Macaca fascicularis: one gene and its partners. The protein of the gene in region 4 interacts with the protein of the main gene of each other region in a pairwise test. Links are inferred from orthologs where the notes say so. Each region holds a gene or a part of one and is shown on either strand. Other genes may lie near its edges. The genes, in order: SNX10, RAB33A, MIEF2, RABAC1, SNX15, NIF3L1 and ZFYVE21.

Evidence for each region.
Region 1: the proteins of RABAC1 (region 4) and SNX10 interact in binary tests that used the Homo sapiens proteins (3 or more experiments, as listed by UniProt). The two-hybrid records come from large-scale screens. The link is inferred for Macaca fascicularis from reciprocal best matches to the Homo sapiens genes RABAC1 and SNX10.
Region 2: the proteins of RABAC1 (region 4) and RAB33A interact in binary tests that used the Homo sapiens proteins (3 or more experiments, as listed by UniProt). The two-hybrid records come from large-scale screens. The link is inferred for Macaca fascicularis from reciprocal best matches to the Homo sapiens genes RABAC1 and RAB33A.
Region 3: the proteins of RABAC1 (region 4) and MIEF2 interact in binary tests that used the Homo sapiens proteins (3 or more experiments, as listed by UniProt). The two-hybrid records come from large-scale screens. The link is inferred for Macaca fascicularis from reciprocal best matches to the Homo sapiens genes RABAC1 and MIEF2.
Region 5: the proteins of RABAC1 (region 4) and SNX15 interact in binary tests that used the Homo sapiens proteins (3 or more experiments, as listed by UniProt). The two-hybrid records come from large-scale screens. The link is inferred for Macaca fascicularis from reciprocal best matches to the Homo sapiens genes RABAC1 and SNX15.
Region 6: the proteins of RABAC1 (region 4) and NIF3L1 interact in binary tests that used the Homo sapiens proteins (3 or more experiments, as listed by UniProt). The two-hybrid records come from large-scale screens. The link is inferred for Macaca fascicularis from reciprocal best matches to the Homo sapiens genes RABAC1 and NIF3L1.
Region 7: the proteins of RABAC1 (region 4) and ZFYVE21 interact in binary tests that used the Homo sapiens proteins (3 or more experiments, as listed by UniProt). The two-hybrid records come from large-scale screens. The link is inferred for Macaca fascicularis from reciprocal best matches to the Homo sapiens genes RABAC1 and ZFYVE21.

The regions. Positions count from the first base shown.
Region 1 is NC_088377.1:103,912,161-103,914,789, forward strand, and holds part of SNX10 (sorting nexin-10), read right to left. Parts: intron 446-2,629; coding exon 233-445; intron 1-232. UniProt on the Homo sapiens protein: Probable phosphoinositide-binding protein involved in protein sorting and membrane trafficking in endosomes. Plays a role in cilium biogenesis through regulation of the transport and the localization of proteins to the cilium.
Region 2 is NC_088395.1:136,439,261-136,443,429, reverse strand, and holds the start of RAB33A (ras-related protein Rab-33A), read right to left. Parts: upstream 2,801-4,169; 5' UTR 2,710-2,800; coding exon 2,452-2,709; intron 1-2,451.
Region 3 is NC_088390.1:18,388,743-18,392,862, reverse strand, and holds the start of MIEF2 (mitochondrial dynamics protein MID49), read right to left. Parts: upstream 2,801-4,120; 5' UTR 2,725-2,800; intron 1,960-2,724; 5' UTR 1,753-1,959; coding exon 1,739-1,752; intron 738-1,738; coding exon 584-737; intron 371-583; coding exon 208-370; intron 1-207. UniProt on the Homo sapiens protein: Mitochondrial outer membrane protein involved in the regulation of mitochondrial organization.
Region 4 is NC_088393.1:48,998,616-49,002,747, forward strand, and holds RABAC1 (prenylated Rab acceptor protein 1), read right to left. Parts: upstream 2,801-4,132; 5' UTR 2,717-2,800; coding exon 2,661-2,716; intron 2,380-2,660; coding exon 2,167-2,379; intron 1,771-2,166; coding exon 1,673-1,770; intron 541-1,672; coding exon 439-540; intron 356-438; coding exon 267-355; 3' UTR 105-266; downstream 1-104. UniProt on the Homo sapiens protein: General Rab protein regulator required for vesicle formation from the Golgi complex. May control vesicle docking and fusion by mediating the action of Rab GTPases to the SNARE complexes.
Region 5 is NC_088388.1:9,339,897-9,343,396, reverse strand, and holds part of SNX15 (sorting nexin-15), read left to right. Parts: intron 1-988; coding exon 989-1,104; intron 1,105-1,200; coding exon 1,201-1,348; intron 1,349-1,658; coding exon 1,659-1,802; intron 1,803-3,241; exon of another isoform or gene 3,242-3,500. UniProt on the Homo sapiens protein: May be involved in several stages of intracellular trafficking. Overexpression of SNX15 disrupts the normal trafficking of proteins from the plasma membrane to recycling endosomes or the TGN.
Region 6 is NC_088386.1:96,632,252-96,636,369, reverse strand, and holds the start of NIF3L1 (NIF3-like protein 1), read right to left. Parts: upstream 2,801-4,118; 5' UTR 2,199-2,800; intron 1-2,198. UniProt on the Homo sapiens protein: May function as a transcriptional corepressor through its interaction with COPS2, negatively regulating the expression of genes involved in neuronal differentiation.
Region 7 is NC_088381.1:171,891,718-171,895,757, reverse strand, and holds the start of ZFYVE21 (zinc finger FYVE domain-containing protein 21), read right to left. Parts: upstream 2,801-4,040; 5' UTR 2,782-2,800; coding exon 2,644-2,781; intron 1-2,643. UniProt on the Homo sapiens protein: Plays a role in cell adhesion, and thereby in cell motility which requires repeated formation and disassembly of focal adhesions.

The DNA of each region.
Region 1 (2,629 bases), on a different chromosome or scaffold from region 4:
GAATGCAAATAATTGAATTTCTACTGCATTCATTAATTCAGTGTGGAGGTGTGTGTGAAGACTACTATGATGAGCTGTCACAGCTCAATAAAATCTCAGTCAATTAATTTTTTCATTATCTTAGTATTACATCAACAAAAAAGTGAAGTGTGTATATATATCTATACACATGCATATGTGCACTATGTGTTACATAAATACATATACATTAAATCAAAATGCAAGGAAATACCTTTCTGAATCATAATCTATATCATTTTCTTTTTTTCCTTCTTCATCTTCTTCAGGGAAACGTCTGTTCATCAAGGCAAACTTGTGAATTGCTTCTTCCACAGAATACTTAGTCTGCCCAGAAACACACGCCTCAATGTCTTCTGAATTCAGATGGCTCTGTAAGAAGAGGTGAAGGCTGCTATCTGAAAGCAAAAGTGCATTCTGTAGGACTCTGTATTAAAATAGAAAAAAAGGAAAAATAATTGGTGAACAAGATGGTCAGTGATAGGGTAGAAGAAAGAAAAACATTAGAAAATGTACCACTGAAGGTAATTTCTCTCCTGTGGTAAACTTTGTATCAATTATGGGGCTCTGCCCATTAAGGGGAGGAAAGCATATGTTAACTTTTATTCAATTATTTGGAAATTTAGGTGGGTAAAAACATGAAGCTAATAGTTAAGAACATCTGTTAAAAGAATAACTTCAAGGACATTTCTTCAATTTACCCATCTGTTATTACCATGTGGATTAATTATGGAAATATTTTGCTTAAATAGTCATAGAAATTTATTCTACTTTAAAAAATTTACTGCCAACAGCATGTCAACTCAGTGATCTTTATGAGATAGGCTGTCATGAAACATCAAAACTTTCAACTACTATTAAAAATTGTATGAAGAAGTCGATACAATTCTCAGCATATTTTACATTTTAAAACTTTACAAGTATAGTTATATACTTAAGTGCATGTTTACAACAGCTCATGAGAGAGATGGCTTTTTTTTTAATACTTAAGGTTAACTATAAATTTCTCCAAAATCTTTAGGAGCACTGAATCTGTGTGTTGTCAAAATGAGCAACCAAATAAAATTGATCCCAGCCAACTTTACCATATATATAATTAAAATATGATAAGGTTGTGATGAGTACATACTGCTCTTCCCACATTCAAGATCAAAGTTTACAAAGACAGAACAGATTTCAACCAGGGCATCAGGACTACATGGAAGATTAAAAACTATCCTGTAGCAAAATCTATAGATGCTCAAATTCATATCAGTGAATGTGTTTTCTCTGAAATGCACATCTTAGAATATGAAATCAAATCAAAGTATACCTTTATATTTAAATAAAAACTGATTTATCTTTTAGCAAAGATGTTGACATATGATAATTTAGTCTCTACGAATAATAGTTCAATAGTTATGTAAGAGGAGACACTAAGACCGGATATAGGGGACAAAACTAAAACACTAAAACCAAGTAGAGTTTTGTTCAACATAAGATATTTCCAGTATAACGATCTGTGAAAAATAGATCATGTATTTCAGACCAAATGAACCTTACCTTATATTCTGCTTGTTTAAACAAGTAATAAGGAAAGTAAATCTCTTTTGGCCATTAATATCAGTTTAGTGAAAATCCAAGGCCATTATAATAAGTCCTTTTCTACAAAATAAATTATTTCTCAACAAAGGCAAAAATGCCTAAAAATGCACAGTATTAAAACCAAAATCTAGCTGTCCCCTTTGCTTCAGCAGGTTTACAGTTTGAGAAAATATTCTTTACTGGTCTATTAGAAGGAAAAGTAAAACCTTTGTGCTTTTCAAAAGGCAAAACCTCAAGCAAAACAGCTAAATCCTTCCTTTTCCCTGTGTCCTCACTCCTGGGTCCTCCCAGAAGATGACCATGTCACATGATAATGATTAATTCACCAAGTACAAGTAGCTAAGTAGTAAATCCCTCTGTACTCTTTGAGATTTATTTTCTACATTTACAAATGTTTACCGTTCTGGTTTTAAATACTTCAGATTAAGAGAAGAGTTACAGACAACAATCCATTAATATGAACTTGGATCGTGAAGTCTGCGAAGTGAGCAGACTGTTTCCTGTGGCCTCTGTCAGCGGTTTCCTGCCTGCCGTCAGTACAAGGAACTGTTCATGGGATTGTACTCACAGCTTTGTTTCTGTTAGAAATGTGTTTTATTTTCTTTATAAAATAATGGGTAATCTTTAAAATTGATTTTAGATGGTTTGAGGCATCACACCACAAAAGTAATGAGCACTAATGCCAATGATACTGGACACAAATTCATTTTAGCTTTATTTCATGTCTGAAGCAATTCTACTGAGCCTTGAACCGCTCACGTGTTGTTATTAACTTGCTAGTAACTTAACACATGGGTACAGCAAACAAAAGTGATCAGAGTCCAGGTTGATTGGGACCTCAAGGCTACTGTCCTTTTTCTTGAGCTATAATTCAATTTCCAATTTTACTGTACATTAGACTCATTATTTCCCAGTGTTTTCTTTTTCTGCTCAATACTGCCATCTGGAGGACACACAGATGAAAAGAGAAGGAGCCAGGCTCACCCAGCTCACAGTTCCAAAGAGGGAGAAAGATGTGGCTGAGGAG
Region 2 (4,169 bases), on a different chromosome or scaffold from region 4:
AGGCAGCCCAAAAGAGGCCACACCGTTGCTCTTAGACTGAGAAGAACTGGCTGAGACCTCTCTACCACTCTCCTGCAAGGGCTGGTATGTTACAGCCCAAAAGCCTTCTATTGCTGGCCATGGTCTAGGCCAGACCTCGGACTGTCACACCGGACTTTTCTCTCTCTCCCAAAGGGCAAAGCCCTTGGCAGTCATCTCCAAGCATGGCTTTGGCATGTATTCCTTGAACAACTTCAGGCTAGCCAGAGTGTGAGGCCAAATCTTCTCCTATCTAGATCACGTGCTAGCTGCCAGGCCCTGCCATCTTCCCACAGACATGCTGGTCTCTCACCTGCCAGCTCTGGTCCTGAGACTGCAGCAGCTTTACAAGAAGCAGGGTCACCATCTCCCCACTCTCACACGCTGCTCTGAGCTCCTTCAGAATCTGCCCTCAGAGGACTCCTCCATGAGCAGTGTCACAAGGCTTTGTCCTCTTGAAAATATCATCTTCCCAAAAAAAGCCTGTATTAAGCACTTATCTGCACGTGGTGTTGTGCTGAGTTCTGTTTCTAGTGAGTCACACTGTCACAGGCTCTGCCCTCTGGGAAAAAGTCTGGAATCTTTGCCAGAGACTGTAAAGTCCAGTTTGGCTAAGTACTGGGGTGTTAGAAGAGAAGGAATGGTTTAAAAATTCCTCCGAGACCACTGGGTGGTGACTCTTCCACTCGTGTTCATCTCCCATCCCTCACTTTCTAGCTTCCTCCTCCCTCCTTCTTTAGATTCCCAAACACTTCATTTTTTTCCATTTAAATTTCAGATGGGCTTATTTCCCACCTTTTAAATCCAGGGAACTCTTTGGCTTACTGTAACACTTGATTTTAAGCAAATGAGAGCATTAGGTTTTTGAGGGTTTAAGAGCCCATCCGTAAAGATATTTCTACTTTGGATTACAAAGGCATGTTTTAGAAATTCTAGAATCGTATAGCCTTACATTAAAGAAGCCAGACACACTAGAGGAAGTCTTAACCAAGCAAATGTCAACAGCCCCAGGAAAGGACAAAGACAAGATGCTGCCTTTGACTTTAAAAGGAAATGTAGCAATTCCCCTTCAAAATGCAAGGGGCAAAAAAGATCACAATTTCAAAATAATGTTCTATCTTCCTGACCCTGGGGCTCTCCCTTATCAGTACTGAGCTGTCCATCTTCCTGACATCTAGTGCGTTGGCCCAGTTTCTGAAGCCATTTTTAGAACATGTTCATTTTAATAATCAAGGAGTCAGAGTCTTGCACAGTTTCAAGTGTTTCATCAGTTACTCAGCCCTTCTCTCCACGTCACTCAGAGGAGGGGCCTTGTGGTCACTTTGGCCGTTTGACCAGCAAGAAGGAGGCTTACTGTTACCCCTGACTCTGTCTAGGGTCCAACCATACGCTCAAGGAAAGGCCAGCTGTGAGCCTAGAGGAGTTGTCTTCAGTGATTCCATTGCCTTTATAGAGGCCCCCCTCTGCTCCCCTGACACAGGAAGTTGCCCTTGTTATGTCCTCCCTCCCTCCATGCCCTGCACATTGACATATTCGTGTCATATCAGGTTTCTACCTTTTCTGAATTAAAGGTGAGCACAAATGGTCAGACAAGAATATTTGCACTTAGCCTATTACATAAACTCATGGAGGGGGGAGGATTGAGCATTTCCCTGGCCCTCGGTTAAGTCACTGCATTTTTACAAAGACCTTCTGAAGACAATACCAACAGAATGAATAAGGAGCAGTTCATGTATTAGATACCCCAGACAAGTAAAGAAAATACCATTCCAGGGGGCCTGTTACAATAAAAAACAAGTTTTGTTGATTACAAAGGGCTGGCTGGTGACCCTGCCTCAATTTCTTTAAAAGGGCTCATGGCTTTCTGCCAGAACCACCTCACTCCACCCCCATCTCAACTCAGCCCTAATCTTAACTATAAACTGCAATTTAAAATAAAGCAGCTTTTTCATTCTCCATGGATTTCCATCCTTTCCTTCCCTCTAATGACTTGAGGCTTAGCTGAAGTGGGGTTTTGCAGCCTATCGGCACCCAAGCGGTAGAAGAGACATCAGGATGTGTAAAGTGCTTTGGGATCCATCCCACAGACTAGGACCCAGAGATGCCTCCTGCCTCCCTCTGCCCACAGGTGCCGCTGCTCGGGCTAGGGGTCAAGGATGGGATCCAACATGCTTTTCCTGGCAGGACCTGTCAGGCAGGAGCAAAGGGTAAGAATGCAACCATTCTCGACCGCCCTAAAAAACTGAGTGATATGGGGACGGGACCCCGCTGAGAGAGGTGAAAAGGGGTGAGGAGGGGCCGAGGGTCCTCGGCTCAGCAAGAGGCGAAACCGCCACGCGCTGGGACGCTGGACGATGACAACCGCTACAGCTATGCCTCGGGCGAGGTCCCCTCCCAGGTCCCTCCCTTCCTGGACCTGACCCCCGGGATCACCTTGATCTTCTCGCCCTCGATTTCCACGGTCTTCTCCCTGAAGTCCACGCCGATGGTGGCTTCAGTCTTGTCTGGGAAGGTACCCCCGCAGAAGCGGAAGGTTAGGCAGGTCTTGCCCACGTTGGAGTCCCCAATCACGATGATTTTGAAGATGCGAATCTGCACGTACTGGTCCAGCGACGAGTCAAGCTCCAGGGACGCCAGGCCAGCGGCCGAGGCGGGCTCCAGGCTCCCATGGCCCAGGATGGGCTGCGCCATCTCCCCCGGACCGAACCGGGGCCCCAACCCCCCTCGAGGGCTCCACACAAAGAGAACGTCCACGTTCGTGCGCTCGAGGCGAGCGAGCTCTGTGCGCGTGTGTGTGCGCGCGTGTGTGTGTGTCCGCCCGTGTGTGCGTGCGCCGGCACCGTGTGCGCGCGCGCGTGAAGAGGGTGCCTCTCATTCCGGGCCCCCCTCCTCCTCCTCCAGCGCACCCTCCTTGCAGCTCGGAGGCACCAACACAAAAGCCAGGGAGAGGAGGAGAGAGGGAGGAGAGTGGACGAGCGGCGAGCCTTCTGCCTGTGTGCGCCCTCGGACCGGATGCTCTGGCGAAGGACCCTACGGCGCTGCTCCAGCCGCCGCCGCGCCTCGGCCCACACTCTCCCCTGCCTGCACCCCCGAGACCGACCGGAGGGAAGAAGCCTCAGGAGGAAAGGGAGGGGGTGGGGACAGCAGCACACGCCACCCCGGGATAGACTTCTTTCTCCTTGCCCCCATTTATATTATAAGTTTCGGGCTCCCCACCCCCACTGGCTCGGAGCGCACGGGATCAGCGGGCAGGGAGCACAGCTGGGGAGGACAAAGAGCTGCACCCTAAGGCATCACTGGATCACTTCGGCCTCCCTGGAGCAACACAACTCTGCAGGGATGGGGTGGGGGCTAAGGCACCTCTTTCACTTCGGGAGCAGCCGGCAGCTGAGCCGCGCCTTCCCGGTCCCCGCTACCCCGTCCCCTCTACCCCCACCCTCTACCCGACCCGCGCCTTGGGATAAAGGGATGTTCTGTCTTATTGAGTGAGCAGGTGCACTCACGGGCCCCAGGCAGCCTGAGAGGGCGCTGCCAAGACACGCAGTGGGTTGTCCCGGGCCTGCACAGTTGAGAGGAGGGAGCCAGCGGGCGCGCGTGTGCGTGTGTAGGGGGTGTTACTGTTTCTGTCACAGACTTGCCAGATGTAGGGGGGCGCGTACCAGGCGCCAACATCCCCTCATCACACCACGAGCACCCATCCTCTGAATGTTCAGGAGAGCGGCTCCTATTGGCTGCCGCAGTCGGTTGTGTTTGGCTGGCCAATGGGGAAGGCTCGCCGCGGGAGAGGGCCACACAGAGGCTAGGAGAAGGGGGGAAGCTAGTGGTGGCAGTTCCAGCAAAAGGGGACTTTGTTTATGGGGCTAGCCATTACTGGCCCAGGTGGAGGATCTTGGGACATGGCATAAGCTCCACAGTGCCTTCCACTCCCAAGCCCTCCATATAACCGTAAGTCCTTCCAGAAGGGTGGAGTTTCAGAGGGAGTTGGGAATCCCTAGGAGGGTTCACTCCCCCTGCAGCTGAATGTAGAACAAAGTGGTTGAGTCTAATTTGCCAGAAGCCTAGATTATGCTTGGAAGATGATAAATGAACACAATCTCCTTACAATATTAGGGGGCTGCTTCCCAAAGCTTACTAATCATCACACACATCTT
Region 3 (4,120 bases), on a different chromosome or scaffold from region 4:
TTTCCCCATCTAAAGCTCCCCACTATCACAACGCTGCCACTTTGCTCCAGGAGCAGGACAAAGAAACCCCACCCCCATTAAATGTCTGAGGAGCCCGCAACCCAGAGAGAAGCAGGGACTCGCACAGGGCCGCACAGTCAGTCAGGGCAAAGCCTGGGCTGCGTCTCTCGAATGTGACACCAACAGAGGGGAAGGAGTGCCACTCACCTGGGGCAGAGGGCGAGGGGGCCAAGGGCAACACTGGCTGGCTGAGGGCAGCAGGTGGAGGCCGGGGCTGCAGGTGTGGTGTGGCCTTGAGCAGGCTCAGTTCCTTCCAGCTGTCTCCCTTGGTGTCATCCTCGTCCCGTGGGCTAGTGGCCCTGTCAATGAACTACAGGCAGAGTCACAGAGATCAGTGTATATGAAGTCTGGGCAGCCGTAGCAAAGCCCAGGGGCAAAGGAGACCAGGGTGCAGGGTGGAGAAGCAGGTGCAGTCTTGCAAGGCCTTGGGCAGTCCCCACCCCTCCCCAGGGCCCCTCTGAAAAGCCCAACCCTGTTGTCCTCCTGCAGGAGCCTCAGGCATGACCCACCCACCTGGCCTTACCCGCTTCACGGCCAGGGTGGCAATGCCCAGCACAGCAGCCCCGCCCACGCCCAGCACCAGGCGGGCATTGGCCAGGAGGAAGTCCACCATGCTGCCCAGCCCCTCGTCGCCACGCCGCTTCCCCCGTTTCTGGGAGAACTCTGCCATGGTCTGCCTGTAAGAGAGCCAGGGGTGAAGGGGCAGCTCAGGTGCAGGTGGCCAGGCTGAGAGAGGGGCTGCTGTGGGCAGGTGCTCTGGCTGTCCTTATGCTGGGTAAGAGAGCTCAGCCCATGAGGGGGGTTTTCTGAGAATTTCTCAAGAGAAAGGGGCCACCCATCCACAGGGGAGGACACCAAGGTCCTGGGAAACCATGTAAAGTACCTAAGAAAGGGCAGGGATGAGATATGAACTTGGGTTTTGGGGCCCCAATCCCCCATCTCTCACGAGGAGATGAGGGAGCTGCCAAGCCCCTTCCCCCAAAGCTGCAAACAACCCACTCCCTGGAAAGAAGCTCGCAAAGGCCCTGAGGCTTGTGCAGGTAGAGGAAGGGGCCGCTCTCCCTGGAGCCCACCCTCCAGGACCTCTGACATCACCAGGGTGTCATCATCTCCATCCCTATGTTACAGAGCCACAGGCTGCCAGCTCACAAGTGAGTGGTGAGGTCTCCAACCCACGACTGCAAGGCCTCCAGACTCTCATCACTCACAGAGTCTGACAGATTCTCCCTGTGCCAGGTGGCCAGGTCCTCAGCAGCAGCCTTATCTGAAAGTCCCTAACCAGAGGGCACGGCAGCCCTCTATGATAGCCTCTTCAGAAGAGCCCAAAGTCCAGAGAAGACAAACAATTTGGGGCCCCAGCCAGTCTGGGGGACCACTGGAACCAGTTACCCTCCAAATCTTGACAGGGTAGCCCCAAGAGGCAGAGCTACCGAGTCAGAGCACAGGCAGAGTGACACGGCCCGAGCTGCCCGGGCAGGCCAATGCAGATGTGCTTCTCAGGGTTGAAGCCCCTTTGGCAGGGCAGAAAGGGCTGCCCAGTGCCTCTGTACAGAGGGCTCTCTGGGCCTCTCAGTCTTGGGACAATGTGTAGGTAGTGGTGGGTGATGCTTCTCAGCTGCAGGGAGGCCAAGCAACAGAGAAAGGAAGGTGAGGGCCTGGGCCCAGCCCGTTTGCTCACCTGTAAGATGGCATACGCAGCAGTGAGAGGCAGATGTGGGCAGGCTTGAAGTGTGTGGCTGGGTGGGGCCCAGCACTTGGGAAGTGGAGGCAAAGATCTAGGACCCAGTCCACATTCCTCACGTTCTGCGAGGGTGACACTGCCCTCAGGCCCTGGGAGATGAGCTGGGCTGTGACCTTCGAACATCAGTTAGACACTAAGCAGAACTCTCCCAGGGAGGCCTGAGCAGATGACCATGAGGTCACAGCCTGCCCGGGCACCAAGGACTTCCACCTGCCCTGCCAGAGTGTCGTGCCAGGGGCCCAGTTGCCAGGTGACCAGATGCCTGGAGTAGCTAAAGCCCGAAGCGCTGTGTGACTCAGCCCCGTACACCCGCCTATTCGCCCCAGACTAAAAATAAGACGGTCTGTGGGGAGATCCCAGGCCAACCAGGTGACCCGCCACGGCCCCAAGGCCGGTTTCAGTCTCCTCATCCGTGACTCGGGAATCAATACTGCCACCCACCCCCAGAGAGACCAGGAATCTACTTTGCAAACTGTAAAGCGCTTTAAATACTCCCAACCTGTCTAAATTGGGACTCAGCCCCACCACTGGCGGGGTCGCTCAGGCCTCAGCCCACAGCCTTCCAGCTCCGGGAAGCGGGAGAGGGCACGGGTGGCTGAAAATAACCCGAGTTTGCCCAACGAGGCCCTGGAGGCCGTCTGGCCTTCCCTCCTCTGCCAAACGCGCCTGCCGTGGGCCCGGGCGGTGCAGCCCGCAGCAGCAGCCCTAGGTGGGCGGGTGACGCCCCGTTCGCAGGGAAACTAAGAGACCGAGAGGGGAAGGGGGCTGGGCTGGGATTCGAACGCGGCCCTTGGTCCCCCAAAGGTCCCCTCCCCGCCTTCCCCAGCCGTGACCGCGGGCCACGCCTCCGATCAGCGTTCAGTCGCGCGCCAAGCCCTGAGCCCGGTGACCCTGGGGGCCGCCCCGCCGCGCTCCAGCTGTACCTGCGTCGCAGCTTCCGCACAACAACCGGAGGAGGCCGCGGGACCACGGTCCCTGAGCTCGAACCAGCCTGAGACTGGAACGTGAAGGACCCTGGAACCCGACGTCGAGGGCCCCCGGGGGCGGCCGCGGACTTCGCAGCACGCAGACAAGCAGGCCCTAAGTCCAATCGGAGCGCTCGAGTTCGGAGCACAGGTGCCAAAATACTGCGCAGTTCAGCCAATGAAGGGTAGGCCCCGCCCCCCAGCCGACAGACGCGCTCCCTTCGGGGCGGGACTCCCTGACGCAGTCCGAATTTAAAGGTGCAGGGCTGCATTCCGAGCCTGCGACCAGGTGATGTGACAGGCAGCCCTCCGGGAAGTCTGTGCGTTGTAATGTGAGCCTCCGGTGTGGAAAAAGCTGTCTGGGCCCCCGTTCCTTCCAGGAGCCAGGTAGAGAGGCTGCACATGGCTAGAGGCCCGGCACATCCAACCTGTTAGATCACCTCTGCGAGAGAGTGTCTTGGTGGCCTCGTTCTTAACTGTGGGCCTGCGAGGCACAGTGTGGCGAAAGTGCCTACCCCTGCCACCTGCTCCGTGCGAGCTTATGTGGGCCATTCTCCACCTGGGCCTGTTTTTCTCCTGTAAAATGGGGACACTAGACCCCCTCCTCCCCTACGAAGCATGGCTGGGCATATAACAGCTGTGGCTCATTTATCGGGGTCCTGCTATGTGTCAGCCAGGGCGAGCCCCCTGTGAACAGCAGGGACCAAGACAGATGCTTCTCTTCTGGACCCTCCCTTTGTAGGGGGGCACGAGCACAGGGGTGCTGACACTAAGTGGGAATAATAAACCTGGCACACAAAACAAAACGGAATAATAACCTGCCACTCACTGAGCGCCTGCTGTATGCTGCAGGCTACACGTGCATTCTTTGTTCATTTACTTATGGTGACAATCTTAGGAAGCATTTTACAAATGAGGAAACTGGGTAGGGCGCGGTGGCTCACGCCTGTCATCCCAGCACTCTGAGAAGCTGAGACCGGAGGATCACTTGAGGCCAGGACATCAAGACCAGCCTGGGCAACATAGCAAGACCTTCGTGTCTACAAAAAAACAAAAATAAATTTAGCCAGGTGTGGTGGTCTGCGCCTATAGTCCCAGCTAATCGGGAGGCTGAGCCCAGGAGTTCGAGGCTGCAGTGAGCTATGATCACACCACTGCACTCCAGCCTGGGCGGCAGAGCAAGAAGACCCTGTCTCAACAAAATAAAAACAACACATGAGGAAACTAAGTCCAGAAGCTGGAGAGCTAGGACCCGAGGAGCCAGGTGTCTCACTACCACCGGTCAGCCAAGTACAGGCACTTCCTGGGCCCCTGCGACCCGGGGCCAGGGTTTAGAATCTCTCCGAGGTCAGGG
Region 4 (4,132 bases):
TTTACCTTATCATCTTGCCCACACCCCAGGTTCCACCCCAACCCTGATCTGCACAGTATTCCCAGCTGCACCCATAGAGACCCACAGAAGATGCTAGGGGAGTATTTCCTGAATGACACCCGTAACAGCTTTATTTTCAAAGGCGGGATCCCTCCCCGGGCTTGTGATGGGACGGCGCTATGGGCCCGAGCAGCAGAGCTGTGCAGGAAGGAGTAGGCAGGGGCGGGGCAGCTGGCCCGGGAGGCTGGCAGGTCCCAGAAGACACCTCACACGGGTTCCATCTGCAGCTCCTCCCCGTCCACAGCCTCAATCTGGTGGAAGGCAGCATGGGAGCCGATGACCACCAGGGTGGCTCCTGCAGGAAAGCCGGCAGCTCAGGGCCATGCTCCTGTACCTGGCCCCCACCATCCACCCCAGCTGCTCAGACCCTGTACTCACCCAGCACCCAGAAGACGGCCGAGCCCGCACCAGCCAGCCAGAAGAAGGGGAAGGAGATGCCTCCAGCCAGAGCGTACTGATGCGCTGGGCTCACCTCTCGGCCTGAAAGCAGATGGCATTGGGGCGCTGTTCCGACCCTTCATGCCCTCTCCCAGAGTAACCCCTGCTGCCCCCCAACAATCTGTATAAGCTTCAGGTCCTCGGGATCAAATCCAAACTCCTCATGCCAAGGCCCTCCAGGTCCTGGGGTCACCCTGCTCCCCTGGTGTCCTCACTGCCCTCCAGAACACAGCACACCGTCCTCGCCTGCCTCAGCCCCACGCTCTGCCCTCTGCCCCACATCCTCCAGGAAGTTCCTGGGATCCCAGCTTCCTGCTCCCTAGACTAGGGCTCTCCTGCTGCAACCCTCACGCAGACCAGGGGTCTCAAACTGGTGGCCCAAAGGCCAAATCTGACCTGTGGATGTGTGTTTGTTTTGAGATGTTTTACAAGGATGTGATTTGTGGCTGGCAAAGTGAATGATTTCACATAAAAATACCAACTTCACGCTTCCCATAGAAGTCTCAGGGATGGGGTCTGCATGCTCTGGTGCCTGTGCTGCAGGCGCTCCCTCCCCCTAAGCCCGTCATGCACATAACTTGCAGGCCCCTGAAGAGCCTGGCCTTCAGGTCTACCTGACAGCCCAATCCCAACTCCCTGACCCCACTCCAAACCTTGATTTTCCCCTGGGGGGAATTTCCCCTGGCATTTTGTTCTCCCAGTGGTCCTTGGTACTAGTCTGGGAACCACATGAAACACACTCCTCAGCTTCCCCAAGTTCCAAGTTCTTTCTGGTCACATCCCAGAAAGCAGGAAAAGAAACGGGAACAGATCTAGGCCAGTGTAAGTTCGCCACCTGGTGTCCAGTGTGGGCACCTGCAGCTGATGCTTGCCGCAGAAAGCGGCAAGGGGAGGAGAGAGGGGAGGAGTCATGTGGTTTGAAGAGGAGTAGGTTTAAGGCACAGCAGCCAGGTGGAGCCTAGGTTTGAGGAATAGCAATTTGAGGGGGCTGAGACTCGATGGGAGCATCGGTTGTGTCTGAGATTTTTAAAGGATCAGGTTTGGGAGATCTAGTGTACATCTAGGCTTCGGCGGACTTGGGTTTTGAAGGACTTGGATTTGGGGTCTGAGGTTTGCATTCCAAAAGACCAAGATTCGAGGGACCAAGGATTCATCTGGGCAGGGGGTTTCTCACCAAAAAGCACAAGCTTGGACTGCAAGGTGCGCAGATAGAGAATGTAACAGGCGCCGAAAAAGACAGCCAGAGCCACCAGCAACATAGGGGACGTCACCCTGGAGGAGGAGTGCAGGGAGGCAGCGGTTAGGCAGCTGGGGCTGGTCAGCCAGGGAGCCCTGGCCTTCTCCACCGGCGGGAGGCAAGCTACATTCTGGAGACCAGGGAGGGCCAGGTGACATTCAGTCACACTGCATCCTGGCCAGGGTGATGGTGGGGTAGGGACCTGGCCCTTTGGTGACAAAGTAGGTCTAGCAGAGCCAATCCTTGGGGGCGGGGCCGGCCTGGGCGGTGAGAGGAGGGGCCTGGGCGGTGAGGGGAGGGGCCTGGGCGGTAGGAGGGGGGCCTGGGTGGTGAGAGGAGGGCCCGGGCGCTGAAGGGCGGGGCCTGAGCTGTGAGAGGAGGGGTCCACCCGGTCGGGGCTAGTGCGGGTGCAGGGCCCGGGATGCACTCACACGCAGTACAGGATGAGGCCCAAGAACACGAACACATAGTTGCTCTGGTAGTACTCCACGTTGCGTACGAGGCGCTGGCACAGCTCGCCCAGGTTGCGGGGCCGTGAGAAACGCTGCTGGTCCACGAAGGTGCCCCACGGCCGGATAGTCGCGCGGCGCCGCTCCAGCCACTCCCGGCCTGCACCGGAGGGAATCAGCTTCGGCAGCAGGGTCCTGCGAGGGGTGGGGCCGGGTCAGTGGTGGACCGGGATGGAGCCTCAGACCCCCGCAAAAGAAGGGGTTTAAGGGGGCTTGGACTCCCTCCCGGGACCCCAGATTACTGAATCGCAGGCGGGGAGGGGGGTAGGGGCCCAGACGCCAGGGTCCCATTAGAGGAGACCGGGGCCAGCGCTTGTGCGTCTCGGGGCTGGGACTCCGGGCACTCGAGGGAGGAGGGGGCCAGGGTCCCGGACTCCCGGGCCTCGGGTCCGAGGGCCTAGAGCCGGCTCGCTCACGTGGCGCTCAGCCCTTCCGCCTCGACATCTTTCTGCTGGTCCTTCTGGGCTGCCATGTCTGCGTCGTGAGGGGTAGAGCTGCTGTAACCAGCCCGGTACCCTGCAGACCCCGCCGGCCCCGCCCGAGGCCGGCCCCACCCAGCGGAGTCGACGTGGCGCCGCTCGGGAGCAGCTGGGGACTGTAGTTCTGCCGCCGATCATTGTGGGAGTTGTAGTCCTGACGGTGGCTGGGAGGGTGGGCGCCATGATGGCGGTCTGACTCGCAAGACACCTTGGGAGATATAATCCCAGAAAGTGACGGCGCGCACCTCTGGGCATTGTGGGACCTGTAGTTTCAGGAGGGTGCAGGTGCGCTGTCAGGAAAGAGGGCGTTATGGGAGCTCTAATGGCAGAAGAGGGTGTTGTGTACTCTCCCAGGCAGGGCACAATGGGGACCGTGCAGAGCTGTCGTTCTGACTCTAGAGGGCATAAAAAAACAACTAGAGGGCTTGCTAAAACAGACTCCTGGGCCCCACCCCAGATGTTCTCATTCAGCAAGTCTGGGGTGGAGCCCATAATTCGCATTTCTGAGTTCCCAGGTGATGCTGATGCCGCTGGTCCATGGACCACATTTTGAGTAGAAAGATTTAGAGAGTTTGTGGGAATTGATTCCTTCCTCAAGAGATTGAGGCTAGTGAGTGGGTCATGGTTGCTGGAGGGGTATCTGAGGTTGCCCCCTGCCCCACTTTGTGGAGTCCCAAAGATGAATGAGTTGGGACTAGGGACACCTCCGCACCGCCACCACCCCCCCCCCACCTGCAAACACACACACCTTTGGACAGGAGGGAGTGAAATTGGGAAAGAGAAAAGGTTGGGAAGTTTTGTGGGTTTTTCTGGGATGGAGTCTCACTCTTGTTGCCCAGGCTGGAGTACAATGGCACAATCTCAGCTCACTGCAACCTCTGCCTCCTGAGTTCAAGCGATTTTCCTGCCTCAGCCTCCCAACTAGCTGGGATTACAGGCGTGCACCACTATGCCCAGCTAATTTTTTGTATTTTTAGTAAAGACGGGGTTTCACCATGTTGGCTAGGTTGGTCTCGAACTCCTGACCTTGGGATTCGTCCACCTCAGCCTCCCAATGTGCTGGGATTACAGGCATGAGCCACTGTGCCTGGCCCCAAGTGACTCTTTTAGGCCCAGGTCTTGTCTTCCAAGATCTACGGCACTTCAGGGTTTGTGCTTGGAAGCCTGCTGGAAGGCGTTCCCAGGAGGTGGGGGGAAGATGGCCCTGTCCAAGGGGCTGGTGGTGCAATAGGCAGGGAAGCCCTTTGCAAGGGCCCCACACTGAAGATGGAAGAGTTACACTTTGAAGATCAGATTGGCTAGTTACTATTTATTTCCTCTTTGTCACCCCCAGGCTTTTAGTGGAATCGGGTTTTCTTTTTCATTTTTGAGATGGAGTTTCGCTCTGTTGTTCCAGCTGGAGTGCAGTG
Region 5 (3,500 bases), on a different chromosome or scaffold from region 4:
CCTAATTTTTTTACTTTTAGTAGAGACGGGGTTTCACCATGTTGGCCAGGCTGGTCTTGAACTCCTAACCTCAAGTGATCCACCTGCCTTGGCCTCCCAAAATGCTGGGATTATAGGTGTGAGCCACCACGCCTGGCCAAGATGTTCTTTTGTTCTTTTGAAGCAAGGTGAAAGATTGCTGTTGTCAGGTTATGCCAGGCCAGTGGGGAAGTACCACAGAATGGCCACACAGTAACTGGACCAGAGTTAGCCTGCACTGCATAATACCTAGGACAGAGCAGTGAAACTGTGACTCGCACCTGTGATCTCAGCACTTTGGGAAGCCAAGGCAAGGTAATCACTTGAGCTCAGGAGTTCAAGACCAGCCTGGGCAACATGGTAAAACCCCATCTCTACAAAAAATACAAAAATTAGCCAGGCATGGTGGTGTGCACCTATAGTCCCAGCTACTTGGGAGGCTGAGGCAGGAGGGCGGCTTGATCCCAGGTGGCAGAGGTTGCAGTGAGCTGAGATTGTGCCACTGCACACCAGCCTAGATAACAGAGCCAGGCCTTGTCTCAAAAAACAAATGGGGGCTACTTGCTGTGTGACCTTGGGCAAGTCACTTTCCCTCTCTGAGCCTTACTTTTCTCCTCATTAGATCAAAGCCATCAGAAATGTTTTTGTTTCTTGTTAACTACCTAGCTCCCCCTGTGTAGGATGTGATATTCACAAGGGCAGAGACTTGTTCCTCCCCTGTTCACCTTCTGAGTCTAGCATATAGTAGGTGCTCAGTAAACATCTGGCAAATGAATGAATAGGGAAATTGATCCGTCCTGGAAGCCCCTCCCTCACCCCAGGAGGAGCCAGAGAAGATTCCTGGGAGAAGGGGTAGGAGGGCAGTGAGTTGCTCAGAGCATCTCAGGCAGGACCAGGAAAAGTGGCCCTGGGGCAGAAGCCCCTATAGGTCACCGCCACTCTCCCCTGTTCCTTGTCCTGGGGGCTGTAGGCCGATTTGAAGCCTCAGTGATCGAGGAGCGGCGAAAGGGGGCAGAGGACCTGCTTCGCTTCACCGTGCACATACCTGCGCTCAACAACAGCCCCCAGCTCAAGGAGTTCTTCAGGGTATGTGCACCTTCCACCTTACCAGAACTTGGGCCACTTACCCACCCACCAGATTGCACCCCATGACTCCCCATGGCTGATCTTTCTGTCCTGCAGGGTGGGGAGGTGACCCGACCCTCGGAGATGTCCAGGGACCTGCACATCCTGCCACCCCCTCTGATCCCCACCCCGCCCCCTGATGACCCCCGGCTACCCCAGCCGCTCCCTGCAGAAAGGAGGGGCCTTGAGGAATTGGAGGTGCCAGGTACATCAGGGTGGGAGGAGGGAGCCAAGGCTGGAGGGTACAGAGTGGGGAGGGGGCCACACTCACTCCTCAGTGGTCTTAGTGAGAAATGGGCGTGTGTCCAGGTCTATCACTGACTGGCTGAGGAACTTTGGGCAGGTCCTTTTCCTTCTCTGCACTACAGTTTCTTAATCTGTAAAATGGGCATAAACCCTAATAACGGGCTTGTCTATGCCCATGGTTGCTGCAAGGGTTTAGAGAGAGAGTAATTCCATTTTGAAAGCTGAGAAATAAATGCGGGTATTCATGACTCCAATTATCTCTTCCTCAGTGGACCCCCCACCATCCAGCCCTGCCCAGGAGGCCCTGGATCTTCTCTTTAACTGTGAGAGCACCGAGGAAGCGTCTGGTTCCCCTGCCCGAGGCCCCCTCACCGAGGCTGAGCTGGCCCTCTTCGACCCCTTCTCCAAAGAAGGTAATGAGCTGGGTCAGCCGGGAAGGAGCCAGGGCAGGACATCCTTTGGACAGGGAGGAGGGCAGAGCCCCACTAGCCTGCTCAGTGCCTGCGCAGATCTGGGAAAGACGTCCCCTCAGTAGTGCTGCCCTGTGGACCAAGAGCAGCTTCAGTGAGAATGAGCAGCTCCGTGCCAGGGCTCGTGGTGTGGTGTGCTGGATGCACCTGTGCAACAAGTAGCCATGAGGAAGGAAAGGAGGCACTTCCCACGTTGGGGCCATCTCACTGAGAAGGCTTTGGAAAGAGCCGGGTCACACTGCTCTGGGACATTTTAGTTCCTTCGCTGTAAGCTCGTGGTGGGATTTCCTGGCTGGCCAGGGTCTGGCTGCAGATCCTGAAGGCAAGAAGCCTGCTGGTCAATGGAAGTGAGTTCTGAGCTCAAAGAGCAGCTGCAAAGGGAAACCCCTCTGGGGGCCTGGAGCCACTGGCATTTGGGGATGCCGGAGATTGAAGGGCCCCCTGATGGAGGTTAGGGTCCTGGGCACCTTCTTGCTGTGAGATCCTGGGACTCGACAGTCCCAAGCTCTGAGGCACTGGAGTTTTTCATTCTAAAATTCGCCAAGGCCTGGCACATTGGCTCACACCTGTAATCTCAACACTTTGGGAGGCTGAGGCAGGGAGATCCCAGGAATTCAAGACCAGCCTGGACAATATAGCGAGAGCCCATGTCTGTTATTCTTTTTTTTTTTTTCTGAGACAGAGTCTCACTCTGTTGTCCATTCTGGAGTGCAGTGGCGCAATCTCTGCTCACTGCAACCTCCCGGGTTCAAGCGATTCTCTGGCCTCAGCTTCCCGAGTAGCTGGGACTACAGGCACACACCACGGTGCCTGGCTAATTTTGTATTTTTAGTTGAGATGAGATTTCTTCATGTTGGTCAGACTGGTCTCAAAACTCCTGACCCTCAAGTGATCCACCCTCCTCGGCCTCCCAGAGTGCTGAGATTACAGGTATGAGCCAAGTGCCCTGCCTCTCACTTTTCTCGTTCTGCTTCCTCCTGTTCCTGCTACTGCCTCTCCAGGGTTGGGGAGTGGGAAGAAGGAATGGGAGGGAAAGGCAGTGTTGGTGTCACAGGGCTGTTGTGTCTGGCCTCTGGGTGGCAGGCATCCAAGTGCTCTGTCCTTGTGTCAGCTGAGCGCCTGCCTGGGCAGGAGCTTTTCTATTTTCTCTTTTTTTTTTTTCCCTTTCTTTTTTTTCTTTTTCTTTTTCTTTTTTTTTTTTTTTTTTTTTTGAGATAGGGTCTGGCTCTGTCACCACGCTAGAGGGCAGTGGTGTGATCGTGGCTCACTGCAGCCTCTACCTCCTAGGCCCAAGCGATCCCCCCACCTCCGCCTCCCGAATAGCTGGGACAGAACCACAGGCATGCACCATCACGCCCAGCTAAGTTGTTGATTTTTTCTAGAGACAAGCTCTCACTATGTTGCCCAGGCTGGTCTCAAGCTCCTGCACTCAAGTAGTCCTCCCACCTCGGCCTCCTGAAGCGCTGGATTATAGGCATGAGCAACTGTCCAACCAGGATCTTTTCAAGACCCTTCACACGCAGCTCCAGTGAGACTCACTCAGCCCATGGGGAGAGTCCCCGGAGCCTGGAGCTGCAAGGCTTCAGAAAACCCCTGAGATTCTCGAAGTCTCCTATTCTAAGATTATTCCAAGGCTTGGAG
Region 6 (4,118 bases), on a different chromosome or scaffold from region 4:
GAAGAAAATGACTTTATTCTAATTAACTCACAAAGAATAAAATCATAACAGCTAGTTTAAGGAGGTAACACATTTTGCCCAGTCCCAAATTCTACAGAGTAGGAACACACCCCCTTCCATTTCAGTTCTGAAGTAAGGAAGCTAGGAATGACAGGAGAGGTTTAACTGATGGTTACACTTTATACCTTCACTATCAATTCTATTTTTACACTAAATTAACTTAAGGTATGAGAGCTGATTTTCCATCTCTCCAGGTTGAACTTCTTGATTAGGCCAATCCGTTTGCAAGTCGGCACTGTTTCAGCACCTCATTGAAACCCTCACAGAGCTTGATGTCACCCTGGTTCTGGGCACACTCCAGAAACTGTTTGATCTCATAGAAGCAAGGCTGCTGCTGCTGTGCCAGCTGGGTTCCCTGTGGCTCCTGGTAAGTGATGTCAGGACTCGCAGGCTCCACTTATTTTTTTTTTGAGACGGAGTCTTGCTCTGTTGCCCAGGCTGTAGTGCAGTGGTAGATCTCGGCTCACTGCAACCTCCACCTCCCAAGTTGAAACAATTCTGCCCCACCCTCCCGAATAGCTGGGATTACAGGAGCTTGCCACCACGCCCGGCTAATTTTTTGTATTTCTAATAGAGATGGGGTTTCATCATCTTGGCCAGGCTGGTCTTGAACTCCTGACCTCGTGATCCACCCACCTTGGCCTCCCATAGTGCTGGGATTACAGGCGTGAGCCACCGCACCCGACCTCCTCCAGGTTTTATTCTAAACTCTGCCACTTTTAATCAGTGGTGCAAATATGGTTATTTTTTGGTTTTAAGAGTGTTAGTCCAAACTGCACCATTTTGTAAATCCCTGCCCCCCGCCCTCCCCCGTTCCCCCGGCCCTGCCCCGTCTCCCCCACAGGCTATTTTGCAGACCTTGGTCAAAGTGAAACATTCCACGGGGGTTCGGGCTGTGAGAAACATCCTGCCCAACCACCTGACCACAAAACGGACAAACGCACCACTAAAGAAACACCTCTGTCATATTCTGCTGTGAGAAAGTGCGAAGAACACCGCATTCCTGCAGGGGCATGGTGGCTCACCCCTGTAATCCCAGCACTTTGGGAGGCCGAGGCGGGTGGGTCACCTGAGGTCAGGAATTCCAGACCAGCCTGGCCAACATGGCAAAACCCCGTCTCTACTAAAAATACAAAAATTAGCGGGTCGTGGTGGCGCGCGCCTGCAGTCCCAGCTACCGGGGAAGCTGAGACAGGAGAATCGCTTGAACTCAGGAGGCGGAGGTTGCCGTGAGCGGAGATCGCACCACTGCACTCCAGCCTGGGTGACAGAGCAAGGCTCCATCTCAAAACAAAAACAAAAAACAAAACAAAAAAACCCACCACCACCACATTCCGCGGGAACAAGGGCCAGAACCGCCTCGTTATGGGAACATCTTAACATCCTGCAGGGCAGCAAGCCAGTAAGCGTTATGGCCCAGGCCCCTCCCGCCCTTACCTAAAAGTATCCCACTGGTGGGCACCGGCATTAGGCTGGTCCCCCACTTCTGTAGATCTTAGGCTGGACATAAAGCCTGCATTTGCTGTAGAGCCGCCACTCTGTTTCTTTAACGCTGGCCTTCCCTTCAAAAACTTATCAAGGAGTTTTATTCTTAGAATGTGTACTCAAGTTACAGCCATAAAAGCATCATAGGAGGTACGCTGGCTACCCACGGTGGGCCTAATGCAGGCACCATGAGGATCAAGGTGCAGAACATTGATTTCTGTTGGCTCACACTGAGCTGACACGTTCACTGATCCCATTAGTAATCTGAAGCCATCTGACGCTAGTGGTATAACATTTACTTATTTTTTAGAGACAGGGGTCTCCCTATGCTGCCCAGGCTGGTCTCGAAATCCTGGGCTCAAGCGATTCGCTCTCCTCGGCCTCCCAAAGTGCTAGGGTTACGCGCCAGACACATCGCGCCGTGAAGTATTATTTTTAAAGTAATTGTTTTAGTGGTCGCAATCAGGGCACGTGCTATTGTGTATCCTGAGTCCCTCACTTTTCCTTGTTCACAAGTTATTCCTTGTTCTAGCGTTCAAAAACAATTTTCAGTGAGTGGGGACGACACTCTCCCCTAAAACTGCAATGTTTTCTCGGTATCGGGAGATTAGAGACAACACAGCAAGCATCTACAACTTCCTTTCATCACCCACCTCTGGCTCCCGCCCCGGCGCCTGCGCCCACCGTGGTCACGCGTCCGCCAACGCTCCGGACGCCCGCCCCTTCCGCCTGCTCGCCCCGTGCATGCCCCGCCCCGCGGCGGAGACGCGCTCGTTGCGTCATCGGTGTTTTCGAGGCGAGTCCCGACGCAGCAGCTGTCAGCTCCATTTTGTTGTCGGTGCTCGTCGCAGTCAGCTGGGTGATTCCCGTGATTGCGTTACAAGCTTTGTCTCCTTCGACTTGGAGTCTTTGTCCAGGACGGTAAGACGCAGGAGGGAGCGGACTAGGTGACAGGGCCGTTCCTGTGAGCCTCGCGGGCGCCTGGCGATGCCACCACTTCCCGCTTGTTTGCTGCCCGCCGTCCCTGGCGCGACGACTGCCTGCTCCCTTCACTCCCAGGCTGCATAATGGCGGCGCGCCCCTCTTTCCTGCGCGGCCGAGCCCGTCGCCGCCGGATCCGGCCTGCGGGAGTAGTTACGGTGTTTGCTAGGCCGGCCGCCCTCTTGGAGTGTTCGCCCTCCGCTGAGGGAGCGGCGCCGCCTGACGTGGGAGGGTCGGGTGGGCGCCATGTTGTGGGCCGCCTCGGCCGAGCTGTAAGATGGCGGCTGGGCGGAGGCCGGCCTTGGCACTGTGGCCGGAAAGGCGAGGCTCCCTGTTGGGGGTGGGGTTTGCTGGGGTTCCGGAATGTGCTTGAAGCACGCAGCTGTGGGGAAATGTCGTCTGGAGCAAGTGGAGGAAGAGACGGAACCCGTAGGGGGTTACAGTTAATGTCTAGTGGTTAAAGGGTCGGCGTAAACGTCGCGAGTGGCTTTGTCCTCAGTGGTGTTAACAAAAACGAGACTTGGGAACCTAAGGAAAGAGAAATGCCGGGGTGTATTTGAAGGAGCGTTGTGACAAAAGTCTGGTGACCGAGCATTTTATGCGATGGCGTTTCAGCGTACTCCTCTTGGGTTAGCAGTTGGAGCTTTTGTTTCTTGGAGTGTCGCTCTGTCGCGCAGGCTAGAGTGTAGTGGCGCGATCTCGGGTCACTGCAGCCTCCGCCTCGCGGGTTCAAGCGATTCTCCTGCTGCCTCAGCCTCTCGAGTATCTGGGATTGCAGGCCCGCGCCACCACGTCCGGTTAATGTTTGTATTTTTAGTAGAGACGGAGTTTCATCGTATTAGACTGGCCTCAAACTCTTGACCTCAGGTGATCCATCCGCCTCGGCCTCCCAAAGTGCTGGGATTACAGGGGTGAGCCACCGCGCCCCGCCTCCCTTTTTTTTGGGGTGGGGGGAGAAGGTCTCGCCCCTGTCGCCCAGGCCGGAGTGCAAGTGGTGCAATGAGGGCTCACTGCAGCCTTGAAATCCGGGCTCAGGTGATCTTCCCACCTCAGCCTCCTGAGTAGTTGGGACTACAGGCGCGCGCTACCACCCCCCGGTTAATTTTTTATTTTTTGTAGAGTCAGGGTCTCGCTATGTTGCTCTGGCTGACCTCGAATTCCTGGGCTCAAGCAATCATCCTGCTTCAGCCTCCCAAAGTGCTGGGGTTACAGGCATAAGCCACGGCCCCCGACCCGGTTGGAGGGCTTTAGAAATTGTACTCAGGCTGGTCCAATGGTAATGGGTTATTATAACTTAGTAGTTACTAGTGTCACAAAAATTAGTATACAACCCCTACAGCTAAATTTGACAGGCTTTAAAAAAAAAAAAAAAAATTGTAGCCAAAGACGCAGAGGGGTTCCACTTGGAAGAAAGAACGGCAGTTGATGAATTTCTATATAATGTCGTTTTCAAGTTGTTAGGTTAGAGATTTTCGATTTTGTTCGAAGGATTTCTGAAAAGAAGGTGGTTCTTACCATTCCCAAATTGATTGTGTTAACATTGCGTTTAGGATAAATTATGTCGTATGTGATTGGGAGTGGTACTGGAAAGA
Region 7 (4,040 bases), on a different chromosome or scaffold from region 4:
TGGCAGAGTCAGACAAGCCCCAGAGATCATCTGAGGCTTCCTTCACACCCCCAAAGCACCTCTATCCAAACTGGTGTCGCACGAAGCTTTACACACCGCCTCTGCCTCCCCTGCCCCACAGGTTCTTGAGGAGGCACAGACTGGAGAAACGATTCTCAACTGGTTCTGCATCAGAGCTCCTTGAGAATCTGAGAGCTGCAGGCCACCTCTCTGAGAAAGGCACACATTCCCCAGGGGGGTTTGCAGCATTTTAAACGGATAACCCTCATGGGCCCAAACTGATAAACCAGCCCAGGTCAGGCACCTGGTATTCCGGAGCTGAGCAATGGGCTGGACTCAGACTCCCCTGGCTAAGGACAGAGCCGGAATGAAAATGGATCAACACGTTTACAGATATGACGATGATGCCAATTGGCACACGGCCACCAAGCCAAGGACAATGTTACCCACCTGCCAAGTTCTACCAAATTCTCCTCTCCCCGTGACGAACCACCACAAATAAACCTATTTCCCACAACGAGTTATCTGCACATTTGAGTCACCTCCTGACAATCACCTTAGCAGCCCCAAGCACACAGCCAGCACAGCGTGGCTCAGTGTCCCCTTCAGCACCGCCACATGCCTGCCAGGCGACTGTTACAGTAGTGTCCCCTCGAGCTATTGCAACTAAAGCTGGACTTTATTCCAAATCTTCCAGCCCTCACTGCCCCGTTCTAAGTTCCTCCAGAACACTGTCTTTGGTCACTTCTGGCCTGTAAGACCATGCTCCAATAAAATTCACAACACAAAACTCAAAGACAAAGTCCATCTTCACTAGAATGGTTTCTCTGTCCCCCAAGCCCGCCCAATGCTAGGACCTTTTTCAGCTGCTCAGATCCCAATTAATCATCCAAACATGGTGGGGGGCAATGGAGAGGCATCCTGCCACCACGTCAACATGGGAAGGAATCTTCTTTTCCACGAGGGGTACCACCTTGACTTAAGTGTTTCAACTCCACTCGGTCGGAAGTCACCGCGGGACTTCCACAGTGCCTCAGCAGAGGTCACAAAGAAAGGTGGGGGAAAATGCTAAACAATTCAGCTGATACCAAAAGGGCTCTGGAAGAGAGAATGAAGGAGGGGAACACAGTGGTCAACTAAAAAACAGAACTGTACGATCAGTGCATGTGTACAGTAGGGAGAAAGAAATTGTGCTTTGCTGGAAACTTCTGCCTCGTCTGGGCCACACTTTCTCACGTGCTCCATATGGTTCATACAGATGTGGAGTATTTCTGTGCTATTAAGAGTTCATTACACCATAAATACATACAATTTTCACTTGTCAACTTAAAAGTAAAATTTTAAAAAGATGTCATAGGCGGATGATTAGGGGGAAAGTGTCTAAAAAGACTCCTTAGGGTGGCGATACTGGGGAGAGAGGTAAGCAGCACTGGTCTCAACTCTTCAGGACACGCTTGCATACACTGTAGATGCTGAGACACTTCCTGTCCCCGAGGCTCTGTGGCCGCCCACCCCCCCACCAGGCCTCCGACCAAGCTTCAATGAACGCAGTCAATTAGTGCTACTTTGACTTCTTGAACCTAGTTCCAACGTCTGCTTAGTTCTCTCACTGAGGGAATTAAACGAATCTGTAACATGTGTTAAGCATGAAAGTCATATTACAAAAATTATCTTTCTCTCCCAATTTTTTTTATCGTGGTTAAAATCCACAGAACAGAAACTGGACACACCTGTTAGCGCACAGGCAGTGGGATTAAATGCACTCAGGGCCTTCCTAGCTGGCCAATGGGCTGGTGTGAGGCAAAGGCACCTCCGATCAGGTCACAGGGAACCCCGCGGGAGGCCCAGGGGACCGCCTGGCTCAGGGACCCCCCACCCCCGCTCCAATTGCTGCAGGAGTGGCCTGGGCAACTCCTGCCGTGTCTAGGCCTAAGGGAAACGCGTGCAGATCTGCGGTCTCCTTCAAACTGTCCAGTGGGCGACTGCGATCTCGCTTCCGAGGTGGAGGGTGGTGTAGACGAAAGGGAAGTGGGGGCAGCCAGGCCCGCAGAGTGGGTCCTGGCCCTCCTCCCGGCCCGGCTTCTGAGCAGGAGATGGCTTCGGAACCCGCCGCCCGCCCGAGGCACCGACGCCTCCCCCGATTCCCGGGCGGGACCCCTGCGGGGCCCCCGGCTCCAGCGCTTCGGCGGACAGCACGCACCCTCCCTGCCGAGCCTGCGAGGAACACGCGCCGCCTTCCACTTTCTCGGGAGCGAGCCCCGACTCTCCGGACGCAGTCCACACGCGCCAGCCCAGCACGAACCGGCCTCGGGCAGGGCCGCACCCACGCCCGGGGCCAGCCCGCGCCCCGCACCCCGCCTCCCGGCGCCCGCCCTGGGCAGGTGCAGGGCCTCCTGCCCTCCCGGGACCCCCGCACCTGGACCCCGCACCTGGACCCCGCGCGCCTCCCGCCCTCCCCGCGGACGCAGGAGCCTGAGGCGGCGGCCCGGGGACGCGGCCAACCTGGGGGAGAGTGGGGCGGGGGCCGGCTGGGGAAGGGGCCGCCCGGAGGCGGAGGGGGCGCCGCAGGAGCCCGGAAGCCCGCTGGCTGGGCCGGGGCGGCGGGGCGGGTCGGAGGCGCGGGCCAGGGCGACGACCACCCACCTCCTTGTCCGGGACCCACTGCGGCTCCTCCAGGCCGAACGGGCTTCCGAAGGCGCGGTGCTCGGGCACCATGCGCAGGCCGCTAGGGGAGCGCACCAGCTTCTTGGCGTCGCGGCGCGCGGACACCTCGGAGGACATGACGCCGCCTCAGTCTCTCGGCCCGCGGCCCCGCACCCGGCCCCTAGCCCAGCCCGGGGCACCGCCCGCCCCGCCCCGGTCCGCGCGCGGCTGACAGCACCGGCGTCCAATCGCCAAGCCCGCCACGGAACGCGGACTAATCGGAGCTCGAACTCCGCCCCATCGCGGCCCTCTCCAATCCGCGTAAGGGCACCGCCCCTGCCCCCCTGTGGTCAGTCACCAATCGGCGGCGAGGGCTGGCCCGGATGCGCTCCGCCCTTCCCAGAAAGATTGAGACTTTGGATTGGTTGGTTCGTCAGCCACGTCGGCGTCGTTTCGCCTCTGATTGGTGTAGCCCTATCAGGGCGCTCGGCGCCTATTGGAGGAAGCCGAGAGGGGCAGGACGGCGCGAAGAGGACTGCAGAGCCAGCGGTAGGTGAGACCCGCGGAACCCGGCTGCGGTGCCAGGCGGCGGCGGGGTCGGAGGTCGTGGGCGGCCGCGGACGTGAGGGGTGTGGCAGGGTCGAGGGGCGGGGGCGGCCGCGGGTCTCCATTGCCGGAGCCGGTGGGAGCAGGATGGCCTGGGGCTGCAGCTCTCACCCTGGGTGCCCCGCCACAGCTCGGGTCGCGTTCAGGCGCCTTCCCGGGGCAGGGCCGCGTGCGCTCAGAGCAGGGAAGGCGGGCTCCGGGGGCCCCGGTGTGCGCGGGCAGGTGTCTGCTCAGGGGAGGCCGAGGTGGGCCCGCGGCTGCGCCCCCGGCCTTCGATGCCTTCGTTCGTCCGCCTGGGACTGCGCTGGCCTGGCATCGAAGTGGGAGAGATCTGAACAGTTATTTTAATGCTTTGATTTGGAAAGAAAATTTTTAGGCCGGGCGTGGTGGCTCACGCCTGTATCCCAGCACTTTGGGAGGCTGAGGCGGGTGAATCACGAGGTCAGGAGTTCAAGACCAGCCTGGCCAACATGGTGAAACCCCGTCTCTACTAAAAATACAAAAAATTAGCTGGCCGTGATGGCACGTACCTGTAATCCCAGCTGCTTGGGAGACTGAGACAGGAGAATTGCTTGAACCGGGACCCGGGAGGCGGAGGTTGCAGTGAGCCAAGACCACATTACTGCACTCCAGCCTGGTCTACAGAGACCCGTTCTCAAAAAGCCAAAAAAAAAAAAAAAAAGAAAAAAAGAAAATGTTTATTCATCCTGCCTTTAATTCCTCATTACAAGGCATGAATTTTTATTGTTTTTTTTTGAAATAGTCTCGCTGTGTCGCCCGGGCTGGAGTGC